Linked DNA regions of Anolis sagrei. The protein of the gene in region 4 purifies or fractionates together with the protein of the main gene of each other region. This does not show direct contact. Links are inferred from orthologs where the notes say so. Each region holds a gene or a part of one and is shown on either strand. Other genes may lie near its edges. The genes, in order: ARIH1, FBXO33, CRY1 and CUL1.

The links.
Region 1: the proteins of CUL1 (region 4) and ARIH1 purify together in Homo sapiens (affinity purification with mass spectrometry; 5 studies listed by BioGRID and IntAct, counting the BioPlex papers as one, with this or other methods). This does not show direct contact. The link is inferred for Anolis sagrei from reciprocal best matches to the Homo sapiens genes CUL1 and ARIH1.
Region 2: the proteins of CUL1 (region 4) and FBXO33 purify together in Homo sapiens (affinity purification with mass spectrometry; 4 studies listed by BioGRID and IntAct, with this or other methods). This does not show direct contact. The link is inferred for Anolis sagrei from reciprocal best matches to the Homo sapiens genes CUL1 and FBXO33.
Region 3: the proteins of CUL1 (region 4) and CRY1 purify together in Homo sapiens (affinity purification with mass spectrometry; 4 studies listed by BioGRID and IntAct, counting the BioPlex papers as one, with this or other methods). This does not show direct contact. The link is inferred for Anolis sagrei from reciprocal best matches to the Homo sapiens genes CUL1 and CRY1.

What each region holds. Positions count from the first base shown.
Region 1 is NC_090029.1:26,571,617-26,578,674, forward strand, and holds the start of ARIH1 (E3 ubiquitin-protein ligase ARIH1), read left to right. Parts: upstream 1-4,034; 5' UTR 4,035-4,332; coding exon 4,333-4,734; intron 4,735-7,058. UniProt on the Homo sapiens protein: E3 ubiquitin-protein ligase, which catalyzes ubiquitination of target proteins together with ubiquitin-conjugating enzyme E2 UBE2L3.
Region 2 is NC_090021.1:303,685,181-303,693,123, reverse strand, and holds the start of FBXO33 (F-box only protein 33), read left to right. Parts: upstream 1-4,929; 5' UTR 4,930-4,932; coding exon 4,933-5,669; intron 5,670-7,943. UniProt on the Homo sapiens protein: Substrate recognition component of a SCF (SKP1-CUL1-F-box protein) E3 ubiquitin-protein ligase complex which mediates the ubiquitination and subsequent proteasomal degradation of target proteins. Probably recognizes and binds to phosphorylated target proteins.
Region 3 is NC_090025.1:169,420,673-169,427,718, reverse strand, and holds the start of CRY1 (cryptochrome-1), read left to right. Parts: upstream 1-4,036; 5' UTR 4,037-4,467; coding exon 4,468-4,625; intron 4,626-7,046.
Region 4 is NC_090026.1:63,456,732-63,464,274, reverse strand, and holds the start of CUL1 (cullin-1), read left to right. Parts: upstream 1-4,543; 5' UTR 4,544-4,650; intron 4,651-7,543. UniProt on the Homo sapiens protein: Core component of multiple cullin-RING-based SCF (SKP1-CUL1-F-box protein) E3 ubiquitin-protein ligase complexes, which mediate the ubiquitination of proteins involved in cell cycle progression, signal transduction and transcription.

The DNA.
Region 1 (7,058 bases), on a different chromosome or scaffold from region 4:
ATCAATATTTTGTAAATTGACATTTTGCTACAATTTCCCATATGTATGTGAACTTTTGGGACTCACATACTATGTGTGTGTGTGAGCATATATATATATACATATATATATATAGAGAGAGAGAAAGCATCAAATAAATAATTGCAACACTCACAAAAATAGAAATATATATATATAGTTTTTCATACATATAGCTTTATATAAATATAAATATGCAATATATTATACATAAACACACATATATACTATACACAACACACACACATATACACATACACAACATATATAGTGCACTGCATATTTATGTCTATATATGTCTCTATATAGACATATATATGAAAAATAATGTGTTTGTGTGTATATATGAGGTGTGTGTTATATACAACATATATATGCATAGATTATGTGTATATATATATATGTATGGTATACTGCATATTTATATTTATATATAGACATATATGAATAACTATGTTTGGTGTTGTGTATGCATATATATATATATGTTGTGTGCATATATAGGTATGTATAGTATACTGTATATTTATATATAGACATAGATATAAATATAAATGTCTATATATAGACATATATATTAAAAACGATGTGTTGTGTGTTTATGTGTGGTATAGGTATGTATATATACACAAAACATATACATACATATACACATAACACAAATATCGTGCTTCTATATATATATAGAATACTGCACTTATATAGACATATATATGAAAAGCTATGTGTTGTGTGTATATGCATATATGTTGACTGTTTATATAGTTATGTATAGTATTTTGCATATTTATATATGTGTATATATGTGATATATGTGTTGTGTATATGTTGTGTGCTCAAGTATATATATCTATATACACAAACATATATACGCACATGAGAAACTAGGCCAACCCGAATTGCCTTCGGGCTGAGAGAGGCGGTATATTATATAGTTTTTCATATATGTCTATATATAAATATAAATATGCAGTATACCATATGTTGTTGTTCATTCGTTCAGTCGTCTCCGACTCTTCGTGATCTCATGGACCAGCCCACGCCAGAGCTCCCTGTTGGCCGTCACCACCCCCAGCTCCTTCAAGGTCAGTCCAGTCACTTCAAGGATGCCATCCATCCATCTTGCCCTTGGTGGGCCCCTCTTCCTTTTGCCTTCCACTTTCCCCAGCATCATTGTCTTCTCCAGGCTTTGCTGTCTCCTCATGATGTGGCCAAAGTACTTCAACTTTGTCTCTAGTATCCTTCCCTCCAGTGAGCAGTCGGGCTTTATTTCCTGGAGGATGGACTGGTTGGATCTTCTCGCAGTCCAAGGCACTCTCAGCACTTTCCTCCAACACCACAGCTCAAAAGCATCGATCTTCCTTCGCTCAGCCTTCCCTAAGGTCCAGCTCTCACATCCGTAGGTGACTACAGGGAATACCATGGCTTTGACTAGGCGGATCTTTGTTGCCAGTCTGATGTCTCTACTCTTTACTATGTTATCGAGACTGGACATTGCTCTCCTCCCAAGAAGTAAGCGTCTTCTGATTTCCTGGCCACAGTCTGCATCTGCAGTAATCTTTGCGCCTAGAAATGGAAAGTCTGTCACGGCCTCCACATTTTCTCCCTCTATTTTCCAGTTGTCAATCATTCTTGTTGCCATAATCTTGGTTTTTTTGATGTTTAGCTGCAACCCGGCTTTTGCGCTTTCTTCTTTCACCTCGATTAGAAGGCTCCTCAACTCCTCCTCGCTTTCGGCCATCAGAGTGGTGTCATCTGCATATCTGAGGTTGTTAATGTTTCTTCCAGCAATTTTCACCCCAGCCTTGCATTCATCAAGCCCCGCACATCGCATGATGTGTTCTGCATACAAGTTAAAAAGGTTGGGTGAGAGGATGCAGCCTTGCCGTACGCCTTTCCCAATCTTGAACCAGTCTGTTGTTCTGTGGTCAGTTCTGACTGTTGCTACTTGGTCCTTGTACAGATTCCTCAGGAGAGAGACAAGGTGGCTTGGGATGCCCATCCCACTAAGAACTTGCCACAATTTATTATGATCCACACAGTCAAAGGCTTTAGAATAGTCAATGAAGCAGAAGTAGATGTTTTTCTGAAACTCCCTGCCTTTCCCCATTATCCAGCGGATATTGGCAATCTGGTCTCTCGTTCCTCTGCCTTTTCTAAACCCAGCTTGAACATCTGGCAACTCTCGCTCCATGTATTGCTGGAGTCTTCCTTGCAGGATCTTGAGCATTACCTTACTGGCATGAGAGATCAGGGCCACTGTACGGAAGTTTGAGCAGTCTTTCGCATTTCCCTTTTTTTGGTATGGGGATATAAGTTGATTTTTTCCAGTCTGATGGCCATTCTTGTGTTTTCCATATTTGCCGGCATATGGCATGCATCACCTTGACAGCATCATCTTTTAAGATTTTAAACAGTTCAGCTGGGATCCCGTCGTCTCCTGCTGCCTTGTTGTTAGCAATGCTTCTTAAGGCCCTTTCAACCTCACTCCTCAGGATGTCTGGTTCTAATTCATTCACCACACCGTCAAAGCTATCCTCGATATTGTTATCCTTCCTATACAGATCTTCTGTATAGTCTCGCCACCTTCTCTTGATCTCTTCAGCTTCTGTTAGGTCCCTGCCATCTTTGTTTCTTATCATACCAATTTTTGCCTAAAATTTACCTCCAATGTTTCTAATTTTCTGGAAAAGAAATTGTCCTTCCTATTCTGTTGTCTTCTTCCACTTCCATGCATTGCTTATTTAAAAATAGTTCCTTATCTCTTCTGGCTAACCTCTGGAATTGCGCATTTAACTGGGCATATCTTCCCTTATCCCTGTTTCCTTTTGCTTTCCTCCTTTCTTGGGCTACTTCCAGTGTCTCAGCAGACAACCATTTTGCCTTCTTTGTTTTCTTTTTCTTTGGGACGTACTTTGTTGCCGCCTCCTGAACAATGTCTCGGACTTCTGTCCATAGTTCTTCTGGGACTCTGTTTACTAAATCTAGTCCTTCAAATCTGTTCTTCACTTCCACTGTATATTCGCTAAGAATGTTAGTAAGATCATATCTAACTGGTCTGTGTATTTTCCCTGATCTCTTTAGTTTTGTTCTAAATTGAGCAATAAGAAGTTCGTGATCTGAGCTACAGTCAGCCCCAGGTCTTGTTTTCACCGACTGGATGGATGTCCGCCACAGTGATCCAAATATACGCCCCAACCACAGCTGCTGAAGAAGCAGAAGTAGATCAGTTCTATGAGGATCTGCAGGACCTACTGGATAATACACCAAAAAGAGACATTACTTTCATTACAGGAGACTGGAATGCCAAGGTGGGAAGTCAAATGACAACAGGGATCACAGGCAAGCATGGTCTGGGAGAACAAAATGAAGCGGGACGCAGGCTGATAGAATTTTGCCAGGAAAACTCGCTGTGTATAACGAATACTCTCTTCCAACAACCTAAAAGACGGCTTTACACCTGGACTTCACCAGACGGTCAACACCGAAATCAGATTGACTACATCCTTTGCAGCCAAAGGTGGCGGACATCCATCTATATACATACAATAAGTATTATATAATATATTATATATATTATATATATGTTATTATATAATATAAAATAATATTATATATAAGTAATAAATATTGTATATACATACAATATATATGTATACACACACACACACACATATATGTATATGCATACAATATATATCTATATACATACAATAAGCCAACTCGGCTGGCCCTTCCCCCATGCCAATTTATAAATGTCATCCCCTTTCGCTGTGCCACACCCAAGATGGTGGGCCGCAGCCACTCCCTTCCTGAGAGTCGGTTGAAGAAGGCGCGCCCTCCGGCTCCACAAGATGGCGGCGGCAAGGCAGGCTGGTGGTTCCCTTTCGTGCCACACTCAAGATGGCTGCCGACGGACTGCGCTTGAGGAGGCGAAAGGGGGCGGGGCGTGTTGCGTTCCCTTCCCGCCCTTCGGCGCGGCGGCGGCGTCGTGACGCCACACGCGGCGTGGGGTTGCGTCCCCGTCCGCGCTGACGTGCGTGCGTGGAGGTGACGGAGCGGGCCGGACGCGTCCCTTTGTTGGCTCAGCGGCGCCTGGCAGAGGAGGAGGCGGCTTTGGGGAATCGCTCCGCCGAAGGAAGGCAGGCAGGCAGGCAGGCAGGAAGGAAGGCGGGCTAGGCCGCAGCCCTCCCTCGCGTCCCTCCCTCCCATCCTCCCGTCAGTCCCTCAGCCGGGGCCTGCCCGGCGCCTTCGCTCCTCCTCCTCGGCCTAGGCCTCAGCGGCCTCCTCCTCCTCCCCTTTCTCGCCGCCACCATGGACTCGGACGAGGGCTACAACTACGAGTTCGACGAGGACGAGGAGTGCAGCGAGGACAGCGGCGCTGAGGAGGACGACGACGACGACGACCCCGACGACGACCCCGACGACGGCAACCTGGACCTGGGCGAGGTGGAGCTGGTCGAGCCCGGCGTGGGCGGAGAGAGGGACGGCCTACTCGGCGGAGAGACCGGCGGGGGAGGCCTCGGGCCCGGAGGAGGGGGAGGCGGCGGCGGAGGAGGAGGAGGCCTCGGGGGAAGCAGCGGCCTGGGCGGGCCCGGCTCCGGAGGGGGACTAGGCCACGACCAGGAGGAGGACTACCGCTACGAGGTGCTCACGGCCGAGCAGATCCTGCAGCACATGGTGGAGTGCATCCGGGAGGTCAACGAGGTCATCCAGGTGCGCGCGCAGGGGCGGGCGGCGGGGGCGCGCTCCCTCGGCGGGAAGGAAGGAGGGATGGAGGGGTGGAAGGAAGGAGGGAGGCCTCCTCCTCCTCCAGGCATGCCTTTCTTCTCCCTCCAACCCTCCCTCCCTTGCTTTCTCTTCACCTTTTCCTGCATCTCTTTCCTATCCTTCTAATTCTTTCCATCCAACTCTTGAATCAGACTGATAGGAATTGTGGGAGTTGTGGTCCAAAACACTTGGTTCCTCCCCCTCCAGGCATGCCTTTCTTCTCCCTTGCTTTCTCAACTCTCCTCTTTCTGCATTCTTTTCCTATCCTTCTAATTCTTTATATCCAACTCTTGAACCAGATTGATAGGAATTGTGGGAGTTGTGACGCTCAACAATTCTTTATTGATTAGTCAATTTTGACCATATCAAAACATACAGAGAATTGTGGGAGTTGTAGTGCAAAACACATGGTACCTTCTCCTCCTGGCACACCTTTCTTCTCCCTCCCTTGCTTTCTCAACTCCCTTCTTTTCTCCTTTTCCTGCATCTCTTTCCTATCCTTCTAATTCTTTATATCCAACTCTTGAACCAGACTGATAGGAATTGTGGGAGTTGTAGTCCAAAACACTTTGTTCCTCCTCCTCCAGGCATTCCTTTCTTCTTCCTCAAACCCTCCCTTGGTTTCTCTACTCTCCTCCTTTTCCTGCATCTCTTTCCTATCCTTCTAATTCTTTATATCCAACTCTTGAACCAGACTGATAGGAATTGTGGGAGTTGTGACACTCAACAATTCTTTATTGATTAGTCAATTTTGACCATATCAAAACATACAGAGAGTTGTGGGAGTTGTAGTCCAAAACACTTGGTACCTCCTCCTGGCACACCTTTCTTCTCCCTCCCATCTTCCCTCACTTTCTCTACTCTCCTCTTTTCTCCTCCTCTTTCTTCATCTCTTTCCTATCCTTCTAATTCTTTATATCCAACTCTTGAACCAGATTGATAGGGTTTGTGGGAGTTGTAGTCCAAAACACTTGGTACCTCCGCCTCCTCCAGGCATGCCTTTCTTCTCCCTCCCACCCTCCCTTGCTTTCTCTACTCTCCGCTTTTCTCGACCTCTTTCTGTATCTCTTTCCTATCCTTCTAGTTCTTTATATCCAACTCTTGAACCAGTCTGATTAGAATTGTGGGAGTTGTAGTCCAAAACACATTTTTTAATTATTATTATTAACTTTATTTGTACCCCGCTAGCATCTCCCGAAGGACTTGATGCGGCTTACAAAGGCCAAGGCCTCAAAACACAACATAACAATACACAACCTAAAGCAAATTAAAAACAGTAAAGCAATATTCAACAACAAGCAATAAGACAATACACCAAGACACAATAAAACTGGGCCAGGCCAGAGTATTGGGTACAGATCAAAAGTGCTGATGTGACAGGTGATATGTAAGGATAATGGGGTAAGTGCAGTGTGCCAGCAATCTTAATTTCTAATAAAGTGCTTCTGGGACTTGTTGGAGGATTGCTATTCTGGAAAGGCACATCGGAACAGCCAGGTCTTCAAGTTCTTTCTAAAGACTGCCAACGTAGGGACCTGTCTAAGATCTTTGGGGAGGGTGTTCCAGAGTTGGGGGGCCACCACGGAAAAGGCCCTGTCTCGCATCCCCACCAGACGCGCCTGCAATGCAGGCGGAATTGCGAGCAGGGCCTCACCAGATGAATGAAGTGAGCGCGTGGGTTCATACACTGAGATGCGGTCACACAGGTAGGATGGTCCCAAACCGTTTAGGGCTTTGTAGGTAAGCACCTGCACCTTAGATTGGGCTCGGAAAATAAACAGCAGCCAGTGGAGCTCCTTGAACAGGAGGGTTGACATGGTACCTCCTCCTCCAGGCACACCTTTCTTCTCCCTCCCATCCTCCCTTGCTTTCTCTACTCTCCTCTTTCCTCCTGTTCTTCCTTCATCTCTTTCCTATAAATCATATAAATCTAATTATTTATATCCCACTCTTAGACCAGACTGATTGGAAATGTGGGAGTTTTAGTCCAAAACACTTGGGTGCCTGTTCGAACCTCTCCCTCACCACCTTCTGTTTCTTTCTCTCCTCCTCTCCTCCTCTTCCTTCATCTCTTTCCTATAAATAATAGAAATCTAATTATTTATATCCCACTCTTAGACCAGACTGATTGGAATTGTGGGAGTTGTAGTCCAAAACACTTGGTGCCTGTTTGAACCTCTCCCTCACCTCCTTCTGTTTCTTTCTCTCCTACTCTCCTCTTTTCTCCTCCTGTTCCCGCATCTCTTTGCTTTCCTTGTAATTATTTATAT
Region 2 (7,943 bases), on a different chromosome or scaffold from region 4:
GAGTATTTGGTCCATTATTTCCTGTCTCCAACAGTGAAATATATGATGATGATGATGATGATGATGATGATGATATCCAATTCTGCTGAGAGTATTTGGTCTCCTATGTCCTATCTCAAAAAAACCTGTTATTCCCACTTCTGCTGGAAGAGAGTATTTGATCTGCCATCTCCTATCTCCCATGCAGCCATGCTGGCCACATGATCTTGGAGGTGTCTATGGACAATGCCAGCTCTTTGGCTTAAAAATGGAGATGAGCACCACCATGTCCAGAGTCAGACACGACTAGACTTAATATCAAGGGGAAACCTTTACCTTTGCCTTTAGTATTTGGTCCATTATTTCTTGTCTCCAGCAGTAGAAATAAATTATGATGATGGTATCCAGTTCTGCTGAGAATATTTGGTCTCCTATCTCTGAAAACGAAATTGTTATTCCCACTTCTGCTGGAAGAGAGTATTTGATCTGCTATCTCCTGTCTCCCAAAGGGAAATAGTAACAATAATATCTGCTTCTATTTGGTCTGTTATCTCAGGTCTCTAACAGGATAAACTATCATTATAATGTAATTATATTATATAATTATAATATTACTAATAATGTCACAATATAATTGTATAGTACAATATAGTACAATATAATAATATATAATATATAATATTGTATGTATATATATCTTGTAAGCTGCTCTAGTCCCTTTGTAAATAAATAATATCCACTTCTGCTGGAAGAAAGTATTATCTCCTGTCTCAAACAGGGAAAATTATTATTATTATTATTATTAACAATAATAATTCCCTGCTTGTACTGATAGGGAGTATTTGGTCCTCTGTAATACTCAATGTATTGGCGAAGGCTTTCAGACTTACAGCAACCCAATTAATACTCATTTCTGCAGGTACAAATACGAGAGATGCATCGTGCATTGGTGTGCTATTTGCGATGCTTTCTGGCTCCAGAGGCAAGCGTTCCAGCAACCTGGTCCTCCTCGCTCGGGGTGATTTGAGGACTAGGGAAAGTTGCAGCATCCTTGGCCGCCTTCCAGCGTCTGTACTCTTGGGACGAAGCCAAGAAGTCTCCCCCCCCCCCCCGCCTCCGGAGAAGGATGGTACAGTCCTCCGAAGGGCGAGCGCCTCGCCATCAATTAGGTGGCGTCAGCCTCACCGCCCTTCTAGATGCTGAGTCATAAAAGCAGCCCTTCCCGGCTCCCCCTTCGGCCGAGGACGCCTTGGTACATTCCTCCTATACAGTCCTCTTTATTCGAAATGCTGGGGAGCCAGAAGTGTTTGGGATTTCAGACTTTTTCAGAAAAAGGGGGGATTTTTTTTTAATATTTGCATACATATTACGAGTTAGAGATGAGACCCAAGTCTAAAGAAAACATTAATTTGTGTTTCACATAGACATAGTTTGAAGACAATGATATACACCATATTTTAAATATATAATTGTATGCATGAAAACCAGGGGTGCATCTACATTGTAGGATTAAGGCGGTTTGGCTCCACTCCAACTGCCATGGTTCCATCATGGAAATCCTGGAATTTGTAGTTTGATGAGGCCCCAGCTGTATTTAGCAGAGAGGGCTAAAGACCTTGTAAAATTATAACTCCCGGGGTAGCATAGCATTGAGCTATTATTACTATCCAGTCACTGATGATGATGTAGTTGTAAACAACCCTGGATGCTCAATTTGAATCTCGTTAAGAGAGAAAAAGCAGCATATACATGAACTGAATTATAATAATGTGGACAATCCTGGAATCTGGATAAAGGATGCTCATTTTGAGACGTTTTAAGAGAGAAAAAGCAGCATATAAATCAGTATAATAATAATATAGTCAATTGAGAATTCCAGATAAAGGATGCTCATTTTGAGACTCTTTAAGAGAGTAAAAACAGCATATAAATCAGTATAATAATAATAATAATAATAATATAGTCAATTGAGAATTCCAGATTAAGGATGCTCATGTTGAGTCTCTTTAAGAGAAAAAAAACGGCATATAAGTCATAATAATAATAATAATAATAATAAGCTGTGACATACTGTGCTTTTGTGTCAATAATAATAATGTGGACAATCCTGGATTCCAAAGACTCTGGGACAAGCCAGTAAAGGTGGTCCACTGGTGATTGGCAGAACTCTGTGTCCCAAATGATTAACTGGAACTTATGTCACAAGTATCACCTGCCAGCAGTAAAAAATTGGTGGGATCATAAATCTGCAAAGGTAGCGGAAAATGAACACGCAAAAATACTGTGGGACTTTCAAATCCACACGGACAAAGTTTTGGAAAGCAATACACCAGATATCACGATTGTGGAAAAGAAAAAAGTTTGGATTATTAATGTCGCCATACCAGGTGACAGTCACATTGAAAAACAACAGGAAAAACTCAGCCATTATCAAGACCTCAAAATCGAACTGCAAAGGCTCTGGCATAAACCAGTACAGGTGGTCCCAGTGGTCATCGGCACACTGGATGCTGTGCCAAAAGATCTCAGCAGGCATTTGAAAACAATAAACATTGACAAAATCACGATCTGCCACCTTACTTGATCTGTGTACCTCATCCAAAAACACATCACACAGTTCTAGATGCTTGGGAAGTGTTAGACTTATGATCTTGTGATAGGAAATCCAGCATATATCTCTCGTTTGCTGTGACATACTGTGTTTTTGTGTCAATGATAATAATGCAGACAATTCTGGATTGCGGATCGAGGCTCACTTTGAGGGCCCTTCCACATAGCCCTATAACCCAGAATATCAAGGCAGAAAATCTTACAATATCTGCTTTGAACTGGGTTATCTGAGTCCACGCTCATATAATGTGGGGTTTTCTGCCTTGATATTCTGGGATATAGGGCTGTGTGGAAGGGCCCCCAGTCTCATTAAGAGAGAAAAAAGCAGCATATAACTCAATAGAATGATAATATTGACAATCCTGGATTCCAGATAAAGGAGGCTCGCTTTGAGTCTCATTGAGACAGATATCCAGGATAGACTACTGCAATGCGCTCTACGTGGGGTTGCCTTTGAAGACAGTTTGGAAGCTTCCAATAGTCCAATGAGAGGCAGCTAGGTTAATAACTGGGGCGGCATACAGGGAGCACACAACTCCCATGTTACGTCAGCTCCACTGGCTGCCTGTTTGCTACCGGGCACAATTCAAAGTGCTGCCTTTGGCCTATAAAGCCCTAAACGGCCCCGGCCCTGTTTACCGGTCCAAATGCATCTCCCTTTACAAACCACTGCATAAACTAAGATCTTCTGGGGAGTCCCTGCTCTCGGTCCCGCCACTATCACAGCCGGGTTTGGTAGGGACGAGAGACAGTGCCTTCTCAGTGATTGCCCCCCGGTTATGGATCTCCCTTCCTGGCAATATTAGGTTAGCCCCCTCCTCCTGCCCTTCAGAAGGATGGTGAAGACCTGGCCATGGGGCAGTGCAATGAGGCAAAATGGTGTCCTGAGATAGTTTTAAGCAACTTTTAATGTGGATATAAGTTATTTTAATGTTTGTATATATTTATGATTTTATGTCCTGGCATTTAATGTTTGCGTGTACATGTTGTGCTCCGCCCTGAGTCCCCTGCGGGGTGAGAAGAGTGGAATATAAATGTTTTAAATCTATATATATAATAAGAGAATGGTTGTCTGTATGTATGTTTGTGTGCTTTCTGATTAGCTGCCACTTCTGCAAGCCGCCATGACCCCCACGAATGACAGACCTGAACCAAACTTGGCACACATAACCCCCATGACCCCCTTTATGTCCTGGTGAAGTTTGGGGGAGGATGGGCAATGGATGATGGGATTTGTAGTACTTTCAAATGCTTTGGTTCCCACATACCACAGTGGCCCCCAACAACAACAGAACAAGACCAAACTTGGCACACAGACCTCCCATGACCCACTTTAAATCCTGGTGCAGTTTGAGGGAGGATGGACCATGAATGACGGGGCTTGCAGTACTTTAACTCACTTCTTTACAGCACTGTGACCCACACCAATGACAGATCAGAACCAAACTTGGCACACAGAGGCCCAATGGCCCACTTTACAACCTGGGCAGGACAGACCACAGATGATGGTATTTGCAGTACCATCACTCACTTCCTGAGAGTACTGTGAACCTAATCCAATAACCTGGAGCCCCCAGTGGCACAGTGGGTTAAAGCCCTGTGCCAGCAGGACTGAAGACCGACAGGTCGCAGGTTCGAATCTGGGGAGGGGCGGATGAGCTCCCTCTATCAGCTCCAACTCCTCATGTGGGGACATGAGAGAAGCCTTCCACAAGGATGATAAAACATCAAAATCATCCGGGTGTCCCCTGGGCAACGTCCTTGCAGACGGCCAATTCTCTCACAACAGGATACTCCTGACACAACAACAACAAAAAAATCCAATAACCGATAAAGACCAAACTTGACACACATAGCCCCCCACGACCCACTCTACATCCTGGTGTAGTTTGGAGGAGGCCGAACTGTGGATGATGGGACTTGGGAGTACCTTCAATCACTTCCAGAGACCACTGCAACCCTGATCCAATGACCAATACAGACCAAACTTGGCACACAGAGCCCCCATGACCCACTTTCTTAAATAACCCAGGCACTGCTGGGTCCCCAAGCTAGTAAATAAATAAAAGCAGTATATAAATCAGGCATGGGCAAACTTGGGCCCTCGAAGTGTTTTGGACTTCAACTCCCACAATTCCCAACAACCGGTGGGAGTTGAAGTCCAAAAGACTGGAAGGGCCCAAGTTTGTCCAAGCCTGGTATAAATGAATAGACTAATCATACTGCGGAGAATGCTGCCCTGCACTCCTTTTCCCTCCCTCCTGTTTGGCTCCTTCCTCCTTCCCTCTTTCTCTTCCCTCCCTTCCTGTGCGTTGGTGCCTTCCGCTTCCTCCTCCCGCCCCAATGGTACGTCCCTCCCTCCTTCCCTCCCTCCGCCCGTCTCCCCCCGCGGCAGGGCGCGTTGGTTGGCTCGGCCAGGCAGGCATCCGAGCCCGGTCCCTCCTCCTCCTCTCTCCTCCCTCCTCCTCCTCCTCCTCCCTGGGCGCCTTGTCATTGATGTTGTTGTTTTTGTCGCAGGAGCCTGAGGGGAGGCCGGGGCCGGGCTCGGGGCGGCGGCGGCGGCGGCCGGTGGCTCCCCCCGCGGCGGCTCCTCCCGCTCGGGCCACCACCATGATGTCTTCCCCGGTGGGCGCGGGCTCCTTGCCCAGCGAGCTGGTGGTGCACATCTTCTCCTTCCTGGCCGCGCCGGACCGGCTCCGGGCCTCGGCCGCTTGCTCGCACTGGCGCGAGTGCCTCTTCTACCCGGCCTTGTGGCCCCGGCTGCGCCTCAGCCTCCGCGTCTGCCCCGCCGAGCGCCCGCGACTCGACTTCCTCATGCGCAAGTGCGGCTGGTTCGTCAGGGAGCTCCGCGTCCAGTTCGCCGCGGACAACTACCCCACCGGAGGAGGAGGAGCAGGAGGGGGGCCCGAGGAAGGCCTCGAAGCGGATGCCGACTCCGCCGCGGGAGTGGTCCCCGCCTCAGGCCCCGAAGGAGGAGGAGGAGGCGGCGGGGAAGCGCCGCTCTGCCCTCGCTGGCTGGAGCTGCTCCGGACCTACTTGGAGCTCGTACTCTGCGTCTTGAGCAGCGTCCGCAACAACAGGTGAGGCCTCGGTTCACGCGCTTCCACGGCTACGGCATCCCGAGGGCTGTTGTTTTGACTAGGCCCAAGCCTGGGTAAAGTTGAGGCCTGCGGGTGTTTTGGAGTTCAACTCCCACCATGCCGAACAGCCTCAGGCCCCTTCCTTTTCCCCCTCAGCCGCTTAAGCGGCTGAGGGGGAAAAGGAAAGGGCCTGAGGCTGTTCGGCATGGTGGGAGTTGAACTCCAAAACACTTGCATCCCCCAACTTGACCCAGGCCTAGCCTCCTCTATGCAGCTTGGCCCCACTTTTGTAAAACTACAACCCCCATTACAAGTGGTCTGAAGCTGCAACCATTCCACACTGTCATTGCAAACTGTGCTTCTTCCTTCCTCAGAGTGTCTCTCCACTCTGGACCCTGGACCAGCCCGAGCTCTTCGGGGGAGGCCCGTCTTTCGCCCCTAATAATAATATATTTATATTTATCGTGTTATCAGCAACCATACCATTGTATTACATTTCTAACAGAGCAAAACAAACACACAGATTAAAAAAAACCCCCAAAAAACACAGATTTTGCAAACTTGGTAGTTGGGTAAATGTCTTTTGACCAGTATCTGGCCACTTGGAGTGCCTCTGGTGTTGCCGCAAGAAGGTCCTCCATTGTGCATGTGGCAGGGCTCAGGGTGCATTGCAGCAGGTGGTCAGTGGTTTGTTCTTCTCCGCACTCGCATGCCGAGGATTCCACCCTGTAGCCACATTTCTTAAGATTGGCTCTGCATCTCGTGGTGCCAGAGCGCAGTCTGTTCAGCACCTTCCAGGGGGGAGTCTCTCATCTGGTATCACCCATGGATTGAGGTTCTGGGTTTGAGCCTGCCACTTTTGGACTCTCACTTCCTGAGGTGTTCCAGCGAGTGTCTCTGTAGATCTAAGAAAACTATGTCTTGATTTAAGTCGTTGACGTGCTGGCTGATACCCAAACAGGGGATGAGCTGGAGATGTTTCTGCCTTGGTAATAATAATAATAATAATATAATAATAAACAACTTTATTTAATACCCTGCCACCATCTCCCCAATGGGGACTCAAGGTGGCTTACATGAGGCCAAGCCCAACAGCATCTTCTATATAAATAAAAATGTAATGTTCGCTGGGTTGTTGTAGGTTTTTTCGGGCCATGTTCTAAAGGCATTTTTTCTCCTGACGTTTCGCCTGCATCTATGGCAAGCATCCTCACTACCTCTGAGGATGCTTGCCATAGATGCAGGCGAAATGTCAGGTCTAAAGGCATTTTTTTTTCTCCTGACGTTTCGCCTGCATCTATGGCAAGCATCCTCAGAGGTAGTGAGAATGCTTGCCATAGATGCAGGTGAAATGTCAGGTCTAAAGGCGTTTTTTTCTCCTGATGTTTCGCCTGCATCTATGGCAAGCATCCTCACTGCCTCTGAGGATGCTTGCCATAGATGCAGGTGAAATGTCAGGTCTAAAGGCGTTTTTTTCTCCTGATGTTTCGCCTGCATCTATGGCAAGCATCCTCGCTACCTCTGAAGATGCTTTCCATAGATGCAGGCGAAATGTCAGGTCTAAAGGCATTTTTTTCTCCTGACGTTTCGCCTGCATCTATGGCAAGCATCCTCACTGCCTCTGAGGATGCTTGCCATAGATGCAGGTGAAATGTCAGGTCTAAAGGCGTTTTTTTCTCCTGATGTTTCGCCTGCATCTATGGCAAGCATCCTCGCTACCTCTGAAGATGCTTGCCATAGATGCAGGCGAAATGTCAGGTCTAAAGGCATTTTTTTCTCCTGACGTTTCGCCTGCATCTATGCCAAGCATCCTCAGAGGTAGTGAGGATGCTTGCCATAGATGCAGGCAAAATGTCAGGTCTAAAGGCATTTTTTCTCCTGACGTTTCGCCTGCATCTATGCCAAGCATCCTCACTGCCTCTGAGGATGCTTGCCATAAATACAGGCGAAACGTCAGGTCTAAAGGCATTTTTTCTCCTGACCTTTCGCCTGCATCTATGGCAAGCATCCTCACTACCTCTGAGGATGCTTGCCATAGATGCAGGCGAAACGTCAGGTCTAAAGGCATTTTTTTTCTCCTGACGTTTTGCCTGCATCTATGGCAAGCATCCTCACTGCCTCTGAGGATGCCTGCCATAGATGCAGGCGATGTGTCAGGAGAAAAAATGCCTTTTAGAACATGGCCATATAGCCCGAAAAAACCTACAACAACCCAGTGGTTCCAGCCATGAAAGCCTTCAACAATACAATATAATGTTCGTTTGTGGGATTAAA
Region 3 (7,046 bases), on a different chromosome or scaffold from region 4:
TATCTATCTATCTAATCTATCTATCTAATCTATCTATCTAATCTATTTAATCTATCTATCTAATCTATCTATCTATCTAATCTATCAGTCAGTCAATCTATCTATCTAATCTATCTATCTAATCTATCTATCTATCTAATCTATCTGTCTTATCTATCTAATCTATCTATCTAATCTATCTATCTAATCTATCTATCTAATCTATCTATCTATCTATAGAACTCAAAAACCACTGGACGAATTGACATCAAATTTGGACACAAGACACCTTACAATCCAATGTATCTCCTTCACTCAAAAAAAAATGATTTTGTTGTTTCTGGGATTTATAGTTCACCTACAATCAAAGAGCATTCTGAACCCCACCAACGATGGAACTGAACCAAACTTGGCATACAGTTCTCCCATGACCAACAGAAAATACTGGAAGGGTTTGGTGGGCAGTGTCCTTTGGTTTTGGAGTTGTAGTTCACCTACATCCAGAGAGCACTGTGGACTCAAACAATGATGGACCTGGACCAAACTCTACACAAATACTCAGTATGCCCAAATGTGAACACTGGTGGAGTTTGGGGGAAATAGAATCTTGACATTTGGGAGTTGTAGTTGCTGGGATTTACAGTTCACCTACAATCAAAGAGCATTCTGAACACCACCAATTGGGCCAAACCTCCCACACAGAACCCCCATGACCACCAGAGTGGGCCACAGCAAGGCATGGCAGGAGACGGCTAGTCTTATATAAATCAACATGTAATGTTTGTTTGTGGGATTAACATAACTCAAAAACCACTGGACGAATTGACACGAAATTTGGACACAAGACACCTAATAGTCCAACGAGTGTCCATGACCCATAAACACACACACACAAAACCCCAGTGGAACAGACTTAAATACCCCCAAATACACCCTATATACATATACACATACACTCATGCACATGCACACATTCATACAAACATAGATATACATATACACATGCACATATACATGCACACATACATATATACATATACACATGCATACACATACATATCCACATACATATATACACACAAATATGCATATAGACAAGCACACACATGTACACAATATGCATGTACACATATACACACACAAATATATATACACACACATATATACACCTGTAACTTTTTCAGGCTTTATTATTATTATTATTATTATTATTAGACAATGCAAATGGCTAAGGAGTTGAACTGGTACACATTAATTATTATAGTTTTAATTGATTTTTATATGGATTTTTATTATGTGATATTAGATGTTTTTAATTGATATGTATGTATGTATGTTTATGGCATCTAATTGTTGCCAATCTGTATGCCGCCCTGAGTTGCCTTTGGGCTGAAAAAATTCTATAAATAAATAAATATTTTGTATTACATTATATTATTATCAATATTAGATGTAAATACAATATATTATAAATAAAGTGTATTATTATCAGCATAGCATAATATTATATATAAATAGTGTATCATTTTTATTATACATAATAGTGTATAAGTAATATAAAGTGTATTATTATTTGCCTATTATACATAATAAAGTGTATAAATAATATAAACTGTATTATTATTAGCATAGCACAATATTATATATAGTGTATCATTTTATTATGCATAATAAAGTGTATAAATAATATATAGTGTATATTATTATTATTATTATTAGCCAATTAGACATAATAAAGTGCATAAGTAATATAAATGTATTATTAGCATAGCACAATATTATATATAAATAGCGTATCATTTTTATTATACATAATAAAGTATATTAGTAATATAAAGTGTATTATTATTATAAGCCTATTATACATAATAAAGTGTATAAATAATATAAAGTGTATTATTATTAGCATAGCATATTATATATAAATAGTGTATCATTTTTATTATACATAATAAAGTGTATAAATAATATAAAGTGTATTATTATTACCCTATTATACATAATAAAGTGTATAAATAATATAAAGTGTATTATTATTAGCATAGCACAATATTATATATATAGTATATCATTTTTATTATACATAATAGTGTATACATAATATAAAGTGTATTATTATTAGCATAGCACAATATTATATATAAATAGTATATCATTTTGTTATGCATAATAAAGTGTATAAATAATATAAAGTGTATTATTATTAACCAATTATACATAATAAAGTGTATAAATAATATAAAGTGTATTATTATTAGCATAGCATAATATTATATATAGTGTATCATGTTTATTATGCATAATAAAGTGTATAACTAATATATAATGCATATTATTATTAGCCAGTTATAAATAATAAAGTGTATAAATAATATAAAATGTATTATTAGCATAGCACAATATTATATATAAATAGTGTATCATTTTTATTATAATAGAAATGATACATAATAAAGTGTATAAATAATATAAAGACTATTTATATATAATATTGTGCTATGCTAATAATAATACATTTTATCATTTATACACTTTATTATGTATAATAGGCAAATAATAATAGTAATGCACTTTATATTACTTATACACTTTATTATGTATAATAAGAATGATACACTATTTATATATAATATTGTGCTATGCTAATAATAATGTTGTTGTTCATTCGTTCAGTCGTCTCCGACTCTTCGTGACCTCATGGACCAGCCCACGCCAGAGCTCCCTGTCGGCCGTCACCACCCCCAGCTCCTTCAAGGTCAGTCCAGTCACTTCAAGGATGCCATCCATCCATCTTGCCCTTGGTCGGCCCCTCTTCGTTTTGCTTTCCACTTTCCCCAGCATAATTGTCTTCTCTAGGCTTTGCTGTCTCCTCATGATGTGGCCAAAGTACTTCAGCTTTGTCTCTAGTATCCTTCCCTCCAGTGAGCAGCCGGGCTTTATTTCCTGGAGGATGGACTGGTTGGATCTTCTCGCAGTCCAAGGCACTCTCAGCACTTTCCTCCAACACCACAGCTCAAAAGCATCGATCTTTAGCAAGATCCGTCATTATGGTCCACACGTGCTAATAATAATAATACACTTTATATTATTTATACACTACATTATGTATAAAGGTAAAGGTAGTCCCCTGACATTAAGTCCAGTCATGTCTGACTCTGGGGTGTGGTGCTCATCTCCATTTCTAAGCCTGAAGAGCCAGCGTTGTCCGTAGACACCTCCAAGGTCATGTGGCCGGCATGACTGCATGGAGCGCCGTTACCTTCCCGCCGGAGCGATACCTATTGATCTACTCACATTTGCATGTTTTCGAACTGCTAGGTTGGCAGAAGCTAGGGCTGACAGCGGAAGCTCACGCCACTCCCCGGAATCGAACCTGTGACCTTTCGATCAACAAGCTCAGCAGCTCAGTGCTTTAACCCACTGCGCCACCGGGGGCCCTCAATAATGTTATACATTATGTATAACAGGCTAATAATACATTGTATATTATTTATACACTTTATTATGTATAATAGGCTAATAATAATACACTTTATATTACTAATATACTTTATTATGTATAATATAATATTGTGCTATGCTAATAATAATACACTTTATATTATTTATACACTTTATGTATAATAAAATGATATACTATATATAATATTGTGCTATGCTAATATTAACAATAGACTTTATATTATTTATACACTTTATTATGTATAATAGGCTAATAATAATAGACTTTATATTATATATTATTTATACACTTTATTATGTATCATTTCTATTATACATAAGTGTATTATTATTATTATTTGCCTATTATACACAATAAAGTGTATAAATAATATAGTGTATTATTATTAGCATAGCACAATATTGGTATTATATATTACTATATTGTATTATACCATCCTGTACGGCAATCTCATTAGTTACATAGATAAGAAGACCTGCATAACCATCCCTCTCCCTCCACGAGGCAGGAAAAACACATTTCAGAAACGTGAGGCGCCCCCGGTCACGTGGTGCGGGGGTGGCCAATCAGGGGCGAGGAAGGGCGGAGCTTGGCGGCTTCCGTCGTTGGGACGAGTTGCCTCGAGTCACAGGGCGGGCGGCAAGGGAGGAAGGAAGTTGGGTTATTTCCCCTTCATTCTTCTTTCCTCTGAGGGGAAAAAAACGGCTATTTAGAGGGAATTAATTAGGAATAGAGAGTGGAAGAGGAGGAGGAGAGGGAGGGGGCGGCAGTTTGGAAACCCAGGAGGGGCGCTGAGGAAGGAAAACAATCCGAGAGGGATGCGTTTCGCCCCCAACACCGTCGCCGCTGCTTCCACCGCCGCGGCCGCTGCTTCCACGGGATCTTAAAGCGGTTTCTCGTCGCTTCTTGGCCCTCTTCTTCTTCTTCTTCCCCGCTCAGCGGCGGCATGAGCTTGGCTTCGACTTGAGCCACGCTCCTCGGCTGTAACCGTTCTCTTCTCCTGCTTGTGCTGCCTCTCGTCAGTGATGGGGGTGAACGCGGTGCACTGGTTCCGCAAGGGGCTCCGTCTCCATGACAACCCGGCCCTGAGGGAGGTCATCCAAGGAGCCGACAGCGTCCGCTGCGTCTACATCCTCGACCCCTGGTTCGCCGGCTCTTCCAACGTCGGCATCAACCGCTGGAGGTGAGTGGCAGCCCTTCCCTCATCTTTTTACTTTATGTAAGCAAGCCCCCCCCCCCCCGCTTCTAAATCTCCCTTTTCTCCCGGGAGTGTGCGCATGCGCGGCGCCGCCTGGTTATACAACGCTGCTGCAGGTACTATGTAACACTCGGAAGTAGCCTGCTGTTTCCCTCGAAATAGTTTGGGTGTCGTCGTTAGGTCGGTGTGGGTAGTGCAGGACGCATTGGACGCAGTTAAGCTGTATTATATTGGGTCTACACCAGGCATGGGTGGACTTCGGCCCTCCAGATGCTTTGGACTTCAACTCCCACCATTCCTAACAGACTCAGGCCCTTTCCTTTCCCCCCTCAGCCACTTAAGCCCATCAGTACAGCAGTATTGTGTATCACAGGCCTTGGCTAGCTTGCGCCTTCCCTCCAGGTGTTTTGGACTTCAACTCCCACCACAGCCTCAGGCCCTTTCCTCTAAAATTACAACAGCAAAACAGCAGAGAGGAAACAACCAGGCACATCTTAACACCTCTCAACAGAACATTTTCCCAGGCACAGCCAGGCCTTCAAATGCTAATGAAGGTGATCAGCTGAAACATTCACACCTAACTGCAGCGGGGAAGAGCTCCTTGCCCCACCCCAGCCATTCCACAGATATATAAACCCATTGTCCTAATTCCAACAGACCTCACTACCTCTGAGGATGCTTGCCATAGATGCAGGCGAAACGTCAGGAGAAATGCCTCTAGAACATGGCTCTATAGCCCGATAAAACCCACAAGAACCTAGACTTTGTATTCCTAGGCGCAAAGATTACTGCAGATGCAGACTGTGGCCAGGAAATCAGAAAACGCTTACTTCTTGGGAGGAGAGCAATGTCCAGTCTCGATAAAATAGTAAAGAGCAGAGACATCAGACTGGCAACAAAGATCCGCCTAGTCAAAGCCATGGTATTCCCTGTAGTAACCTACGGATGTGTGAGCTGGACGTTAGGGAAGGCTGAGCGAAGGAAGATCGATGCTTTTGAGCTGTGGTGTTGGAGGAAAGTTCTGAGCGTGCCTTGGACTGCGAGAAGATCCAACCAGTCCATCCTCCAGGAAATAAAGCCTGACTGCTCACTGGAGGGAAGGATACTAGAGACAAAGTTGAAGTACTTTGGCCACATCATGAGGAGACAGCAAAGCCTAGAGAAGACAACTATGCTGGGGAAAGTGGAAGGCAAAAGGAAGAGGGGCCGACCAAGGGCAAGATGGATGGATGGCATCCTTGAAGTGACTGGACTGACCTTGAAGGAGCTGGGGGTGGTGACGGCCGACAGGGAGCTCTGGCGTGGGCTGGTCCATGAGGTCACGAAGAGTCGGAGACGACTGAACGAATGAAGAACAACAACACACCAGGCATGGGTGGACTTGGGCCCTCCGGGTGTTTTGGACTTCAACTCCCACCATTCCTAACAGCCTCAGTCCCTTTCCTTCCCCCCCTCAGCCACTTAAAGCCCATCAACACAGCAGTATTGTGTATCACAGGCCTTGGCCAGCTTGGGCCTTCCCTCCAGTTGTTTTGGACTTCAACTCCCACCATTCCTAACCCCCTCGGGCCCTTTCTTTTCCCCCTCAGCCACTTAAGCCCATCAACACAGCAGCATTGTGTATCACAGGCCTGGGCCAGCTTGAGCCTTCCCTTCAGGTGTTTTGGACTTCAACTCCCACCATTCCTAACCGCCTTGGGCCTCCCCCCCCCCCCCCTCAGCTGCTTAAGCTGGCCCAGTCCTAGGATCAGACCCGTAGCCAGGATTTCAATTGGGGGGGGGGGTGAGTCTGAGTGAAAGAGGGTCTACCCTAGCAAACCTTTTGTAAAGGTAAAGGTAGTCCCCTGACATTAAGTCCAGTCATGTCTGACTCTGGGGTGTGGTGCTCATCTCCATTTCTAAGCCGAAGAGCCGGCATTGTCCGTACACACCTCCAAGGACATGTGGCCAGCATGATCACATGGAGCACCATTCATCTTGATATCTTAATATATTTTCATGCCGCTGCTCATGTCAAGGAGTGTACAACAACAAAACATAAGCACACCATACAACTGAGCAGGCCTGTAGCGAGGGGCGGGGGGGGGTTAGGGGTTCAAACCCCTCCCGAAATGTTTCAGATTTTTTTAAAAAAAACTGGTTTACTCATGAATTTTAACTGGTTAACCAAATCCCCATGCTAAGTCTATGAGATGCAAAAAATTAAGAGTCCCTCCAGAACTGCAAGCACTATCTCAGGCAAATACTGACAATTTATTCACACTGTCATTACTTGCAGCAATAGCCGATGTAGTGAAGCAACCAAGTTGGGTATGTGTGTGTTGAATGTTCTCATTAAGGAGGCCAGACTTGGTGGAGGTGGTTGACAGGCGCAGAGCTGCAGGCTATGGAAGGCTGCTCTGCCCT
Region 4 (7,543 bases):
GTGAAAGGGATCCCTAAAGAAGGACAATGATATGTTTTATGTTCCAAAGTAGGCAAACCAGACAATCACTACATTAACACTGACAAAGAAACAACAAGAAATACTGTTTACCCACAAGCATCAAGAAATTACATAAGAAACCAACTTTCTCATTACTTTCTTTTCAAGATGACCAGACTGGATCATAGCAACGCGTGGCAGGGGATGGCTAGCATATGGCATGGACCAACTTTGGCCCTCCATGTGTTTTGGACTTCAACTCCCACAATTCCAAACAACCAGTAGGAAGTCCAAAATACCTGGAGGGCCAAAATTTGTCTATGCCAATATATATCTATATATCTCTATATCTCTATCTATCTATCTATCTATCTATCTATCTATCTATATCAGTGATTGGTTGGGGGGGGGGGCGCCAAAATACTGTTTGCTTACCATTGAAAATTACCTAGGACCGCCTCTGACTCTACCCCTAGAAGGGTATCTTGTAGTTGTGATACTAGCCCTGACCAGGAAATGGTATGTCAATGACAACTGGGAGGTATTTGTCACTCTGTTCACAGATCTGTTTGTTCCAAGCAGAAAATAGCATCAAATTGTTTAGAGCATGAAAACACTCAGAATTGGGATAAACCTATGTTAGTCATAGATAGCATGAACTCCTGAGTTGCTCCTGAGATACTGGCATTGAGTGGTATGTTAAAGTGACCCAGAAGCAAAACAATTTCAACAACACCTCTGAGACCAGTTCCATAAACTCAGCCAGAGAGACTTACTTCTGGGCAATTGTGCAGAAAAGAGTTCATGCATGACAACTTGGAAGTAAACTTCACTGTGTTTCACAAGGCATGGTGTTCATTTTATTCAGTGTAGCTGACTCTCAGAAAAGAGTGCATACACCTCACTGTTGCAGTCCTAACCATATCTGGAGCCCCAGGTCTCAGCGGTGACCAGGGGAGCATTTGCACAGCTCAGGCTCGTGCGCCAGCTGCGCCCGTACCTCGGGAAGTCTGACTTGGCCATGGTAGTACACACTCTGGTCACATCCCGCCTTGACTACTGCAACACTCTCTACGTGGGGCTGCCCTTGAAGACGGCCCGGAAGCTCCAGCTGGTCCAGCGCGCGGCAGGCATGTTACTAACAGGAGCGAGACGCAGGGAGCATACAACGCCCTTGTTGTACCAGCTCCACTGGCTGCCAATCTGCTACCGGGCCCCATTCATGGTGCTGGTGTTGGCCTACAGAGCCCTAAACGGTTTCGGCCCAAAATACCTGTCTGACCGCATCTCGGCCTATGAGTCCACGAGGACTTTGAGATTGTCCGGGGAGGCCCTTCTCTCGATCCCGCCTGCCTCACAGGCACGCCTGGCGGGGACGAGAGACAGGGCCTTCTCGGTGGTGGCCCCTCGGCTGTGGAACACCCTTCCTGTGGACATCAGACTGGCACCCTCCCTTATGACATTCCGCAAGAGACTAAAGACGTGGTTGTTCGAGAAGGCGTTTGAATAAGTGCTGCAATAACTGGCAATGACGATAGGAACGGAACACGGAAAACGATATTTGGATTGTGGTTCAACGATGAGACGCCGCGAATGACTTGTTGTAATTGTATTATTGATATTGATGTTGTTGTTTGATGATGTTTTTGATATTGCTAGTTGATGTTAGCCTATGTTGTAAATCGCACCTTATTTTACATGTTGTACACCGCCGTGAGTCGCCCCAGGGCTGAGAACAGCGGTCTATAAGCACAGTAAATAAATAAATAAATATCTGCCCAGAAATAAACTGCGTCCTATCTACAACTCCAAGCATCCCCCAACCATGCTGATTAGCCATGCTGACTGGGGAATTCTACATGTTGTAGTCCTTTTTCAAACTGATTGCATCCAGTCATATGAGAATGCTCTCGACTAATCATGATTAGCCTATAAATACTATTTGTGATCTTATGGATAGTGAACCAAACATAGGACTTGCTTTCAAAAGTGTTTGAATTTTCTTGAATGACTGAAAGTATTCCCCCAGAAATCAAGAGTGAGTAGGTTTCTTGGTATCCATCTTCTTTGAACTAATCTGGGAAAGATAGACCACTTCAACATATTCATTAAATACTGCTGAGCTACCCACTTAAGAAACAGCACATGACGTAGGCTTCAAGTGGAGAGATATCTTGGCGTTTAAAAGGGGTTGCAAAGCATTATCATTTCTGATGCTTTCTAAGCTGGATAGAGATGGGCAAAATGGCTCATTCTGTCATGTGATGATATTTGTCTTTCTCAGCTTTAAAATTTTTATTTCGTGTCAGGGCAGCCAGTCAATTATATTACATTTCTAACAGAACAAAGCAAACAAACAGACATAATACAAAATTTGTGAGTTTGGTAGTTAATTAAATGTCCTTTGACCAGTAGCTGGCCACTTGGAGTGCTTCTGGTGTTGCTGCAAGGAGGTCCTCCATTGTGCATGTGGCAGGGCTCAGGTTGTATTGCAGCAGGTGGTCAGTGGTTTGCTCCTCTCCACATTCGCTTGTGGAGGATTCCACTTTGTAGCCCCATGTCTGAAGGTTGGCTCTGCATCTCGTGGTGCCAGAGCGCAGTCTGTTCAGCGCCTTCCAAGTTGCCCAGTCCTCTGTGTTCCCAGGGTGGAGTCTCTCATTTGTATCAGCCATTGGTTGAGGTTCTGGGTTTGAGCCTGCCACTTTTGGACTCTCGCTTGCTGAGGTGTTCCAGCGAGTGTCTCTGTAGATCTTAGAAAACTATGTCTAGATTTAAGTCGTTTACGTGCTGGCTGATACCCAAACAGGGGATGAGCTGGAGATGTCTCTGCCTTGGTCCTTTCACTATTGGCTGCTATTTCCCAGCGGATGTCAGGTGGTGCAATACCAGCTAAGCAGTGTAATTTCTCCAGTGGTGTAGGGTGCAGACACCCCGTGATAATGCAGCATGTCTCATTCAGAGCCACATCCACTGTTTTAGTGTGGTGAGATGTGTTCCACACTGGGCATGCATACTCAGCAGCAGAGTAGCACAGCGCAAGGGCAGATGTCTTCACTGTATCTGGTTGTGATCCCCAGGTTGTGCCAGTCAGCTTTTGTATGATATTGTTTCCAGCACCCACTTTTTGCTTGATGTTCAAGCAATGCTTCTTGTAGGTAAGAGCACAGTCCAGAGTGACTCCCAGGTATTTGGGTGCGTTGCAATGCTCCAGTGGGATTCCTTCCCAGGTGATCCTCAGAGCACCAAGTCCTTGAAGCACTTTAGTAGAACCAGATCACTGCACACTGTACACTGTCCTTACTTTATAATCCTACATTCCTCCTGCCACATCAGCATTTTTAACCATGTACCCCTACCCTGGCCGGCCCAGTTTTAAATTGTGTCCCGTTGTATTGTTACTGTTATTGTTTTCTTGCTTAACTGTTTTAATTTGCTTTATGTATTGTATCATTTTATTGTATTTTTGGGGCTTCGGCCTGTGTAAGCCCCATCAAATCCCTTAGGAGATGCTAGCGGGGTACAAATAAAGTTAATAATAATAATAATAAATAATAATAATCTTCAGAGCTTGGGGTGCTTCTCTGTTCTTGAGATGAAAGGCACATGTCTGTGTTTTAGATGGATTAGGGATCAGCTGGTTTTCCCTGTAGTAGGCAGTAAGGGCACCTAGAGCTTCAGAAAGCTTCTGTTCTACCATCTCAAAGCTCCCTGCTTGAGCAGTGATGGCACGATCATCAGCATAGATGAAACTCTCTGTCCCTTCTGGCAGTGGCTGGTCATTTGTGTAGATGTTGAACATGGATGGAGCAAGCACGCTCCCCTGAGGCAGGCTGTTCTTCTGTTTCCGCCATCTGCTTCTCTGGCCCTGGAACTCAACAAAGAAGCTCCTGTTTTGTAGCAGGTTTCCTATGAGGCGGGTGAGGTGGTAGTCCTTTGTGATATTATACATTTTTCTCAGGAGGAGGCGGTGGTTCACAGTATCATAGGCTGCTGACAGGTCTATGAAGACAGCTCCTGTGATCTGCTGCTTTTCAAAGCCATCTTCTATGTGCTGAGTCAGGTTGAGCACTTGCGATGTGCAGCTTTTGCCTTTTCTGAAGCCAGTTTGCTGTGGGATCAGACAGGGGTCTATTTTTTCCTGAGCTCTGCCACATGCACAATGGAGGACCTTCTTGCAGCAACACCAGAAGCACTCCAAGTGGCCAGATACTGATCAAAGGACATTTAATCAACTACCAAGCTTGCAGATTTTGTATTTTTGTTTGTTTGCTTTGTAATATATTACATTATAAAATGTAATATAATTGACTGGTTGACCTGACACGACAAATAAATTTCTCCACAATGGGCCACAGCAACGCCTGGCCGGGTACAGCTAGTAAATACACAAATATACAGCAGAGCCTGGGCTTGCAGTGACTGGGAGGAGGAGGAGGAGCCAAGCTTATTGCGCGCGCACCTCTCTCTCTCTCTCTCTCCCCCCCCCCCCCCCTCTCCAATGTTGTTTGCTCCCAGCGAAGGCGACCGGAAGCCGCGCCAAGGCGGCGAGGGAGTGAGTGACGCGGCGGATCCGGAAGGGGCGGGCTTCCCCGTGTGGATGGCCGAGGCTGCCGCGGCCTCCCTGGATGACTTGAGTCTGCGGGACGTTGCGTGAGTAGCCTTTCGCCTTCTCCGCCTGGGAAAACGAGGCCCGGCCTGAGGGAAAAGGGCAAAGAGGCTGCTCTCCAATACGGGGAGCGAGGGACGGGCGACGCGGGAGGCAGGCCTGGGCCCGGGCTGTGGCGCAGCGAGGCCAAACCGGGTCAAGCGGGGCTGTGCGGGGAGAGGAAGGCGGAAGGCCGCCGGGAAAACGCCAGGAAAAGCGGGAGAGGGAGGGATTTGGTCGACGCCTCGCCGCTTGACCAGGCCGGGCTTCCCCAGTAGGCCCTCCCTCGCGCAGGCCGGCTTCAAGGCGAGCCGGACTTCCTTCTCTCTGCCTTTGCCCGCCCTGCCCTTTGGCTGAGGCCTTGCTTAGAACCAGCCTCCCTTCGCCACCCTCTTCCACCTTGGCTTTGTTTACGGGATATTTTATTTCACCTTGCTTCTCCACCGTGATGGGCCTCTAATGGCACACACGTTGTGAACATAGCCCTCCTCCCATGTTCTTGACCTGAGAAGTGTTCTGTGTCAGTGTGGCCTGTGTTGCCATCCCGCCCTATATCCCAGAATATCAAGGCAGGAAATCCCCCAGTATCTTCTTTGAACTGGGGTATATGGCAGTGTTGATTCACATTACCCAGGACCCATCCATCCAGTCGCATAACCCAGAATATCAAGGCAGGAAATCCCCCAATATCTTCTTTGAAAAGGGTTATATGGCAGTGTGGATTCAGATAGCCCAGGGGACCCTTCCACACAGCCATATAACCCAAAATATCAAGGCAGAAAATCCCCAAATATCTGCTTTAAACTTGGTTATATGGCAGTGTGGACTCACATAACCCAGGGCCCATCCAGCCAGCCATATAACCCAAAATATCAAAGCAGAAAATTCCCCAATATCTGCTTTAAACTGGGTTATGTGGCAGTGTGGACTTAGATAACCCAGGATCCTGGGGACCCTTCCACAAAGCCATATAAACCAAAATACCAAGGCTGAAAATCCCCCAGTATCTGCTTTGGACTGGCAGTGTTGATTCGCATAACCCAGGGCCCAGCCAGCCAGCCGTATAACCCAGAATATCAAGGCAGGAAATCCCCCAGTATCTTCTTTGAACTGGGTTATATGGCAGTGTGGATTCAGATAGCCCAGGGGACACTTCCACATAGCCATATAACCCAAAATATCAAGGCAGAAAATCCCCCAATATCTTTTTTGAACTGGGTTATGTGGCAATGTGGATTCAGATAGCCCAGGGCACCCTTCCACACAGCCATATAACCCAAAACATGCAGGCAGGAAATCCCCCAATATCTTCTTTGAACTGGGTTGTATGACAGTGTGGATTCAGATCGCCCAGGGGACCCTTCCACACAGCCATATAACCAAAAATATCAAGGCAGGAAATCTCCCAATATTTGCTTTGAACTGGGTTATATGGCAGTGTGGACTCACATAACCCAGGGCCTATCCAACCATCCGTATAACCCAGAATATCAAGGCTGAAAATCCCCCAATATCTGCTTTAAACTGGGTTATATGGCAGTGTTGACTCACATAACCCAGGGCCCATCCAGCCAGCCGTATAACCCAGAATATCAAGGCAGAAAATCCCCAAATATCTGCTTTGAACTGGGTTATATGGCAGTGTTGATTCACATAACCCAGGGCCCATCTACCCAGCTGTATAACCCAAAATATCAAAGCAGAAAATCTCCCAACATCTGCTTTGAACTGGGTTATATGGCAGTGTGGATTTAGATAACCCAGGGCCCTGGGGACCCTTCCACACAGCCATATAACCGAAAATATCAAGGTTGAAAATTCCCCAATATCTGCTTTGAACTGGGTTATATGGCACTGTTGACTCACATAACCCAGGGCCCATCCAACCAGCCGTATAACCCAAAATATCAAAGGAGAAAATCCCTCAATATCTGCTTTAAACTGGGTTATGTGGTAGTGTGAACTTAGATAACCCAGGGCCCATCCATCCAGCCATATAACCCAAAATATCAAGATTGAAAATCCCCCAATATCTGCTTTGAACTGGGTTATGTGGCAGTGTGGACTTAGATGACCCAGGACCCTGGGGACCCTTCCACACAGCCATATAACCCAAAATACCAAAGCAAAAATCCCCCAATATCTGCTTTAAACTGGGTTATATGGCAGTGTGGACTCGCATAACCCAGGGCCCATCCATCCAGCCATATAACCCAAAATATCAAGATTGAAAATCCCCCAATATCTGCTTTGAACTGGGTTATATGGCAGTGTGTACTCAGATAACCCAGGGCCCATCCATCCAGCCATATAACCCAAAATACCAAAGCAAAAATCTCCCAATATCTGCTTTAAACTCGGTTATGTGGCAGTGTGGACTTAGATAACCCAGGACCCCGGGGACCCTTACACACAGCCATATAACCCAGAATATCAAGGATGAAAATCCCCCAATATCTGCTTTAAATTAGGTTATATGGCAGTGTGGACTCACATAACACAGGGCCCATCTACCCAGCCGTATAACCCAGAATATCAAGGCTGAAAATCCCCCAATATCTGCTTTGAACTGGGGTATATGGCAGTGTGGACTCACATAACCCAGGGCCCATCTACCCAGCCGTATAACCCAGAATATCAAAGGAGAAAATCCCCCAATATCTGCTTTAAACTGGGTTATGTGGCAGTGTGGACTCACATAACCCAGGACCCTTCCATACAGCCATATAACCCAGAATATCAAAGCAGATAATGTGGGGTTTTATACATCTGTCTGGAAGAGGCCTGGGTTCTCCACTGGTATGACCTCAAGGAAATTGATCCTATAACTGTGGCCCCTTCTACACTGCCATATAACATCCATATTGTCTGCTTTGAACTGGATTCCGTGGGCGCTTC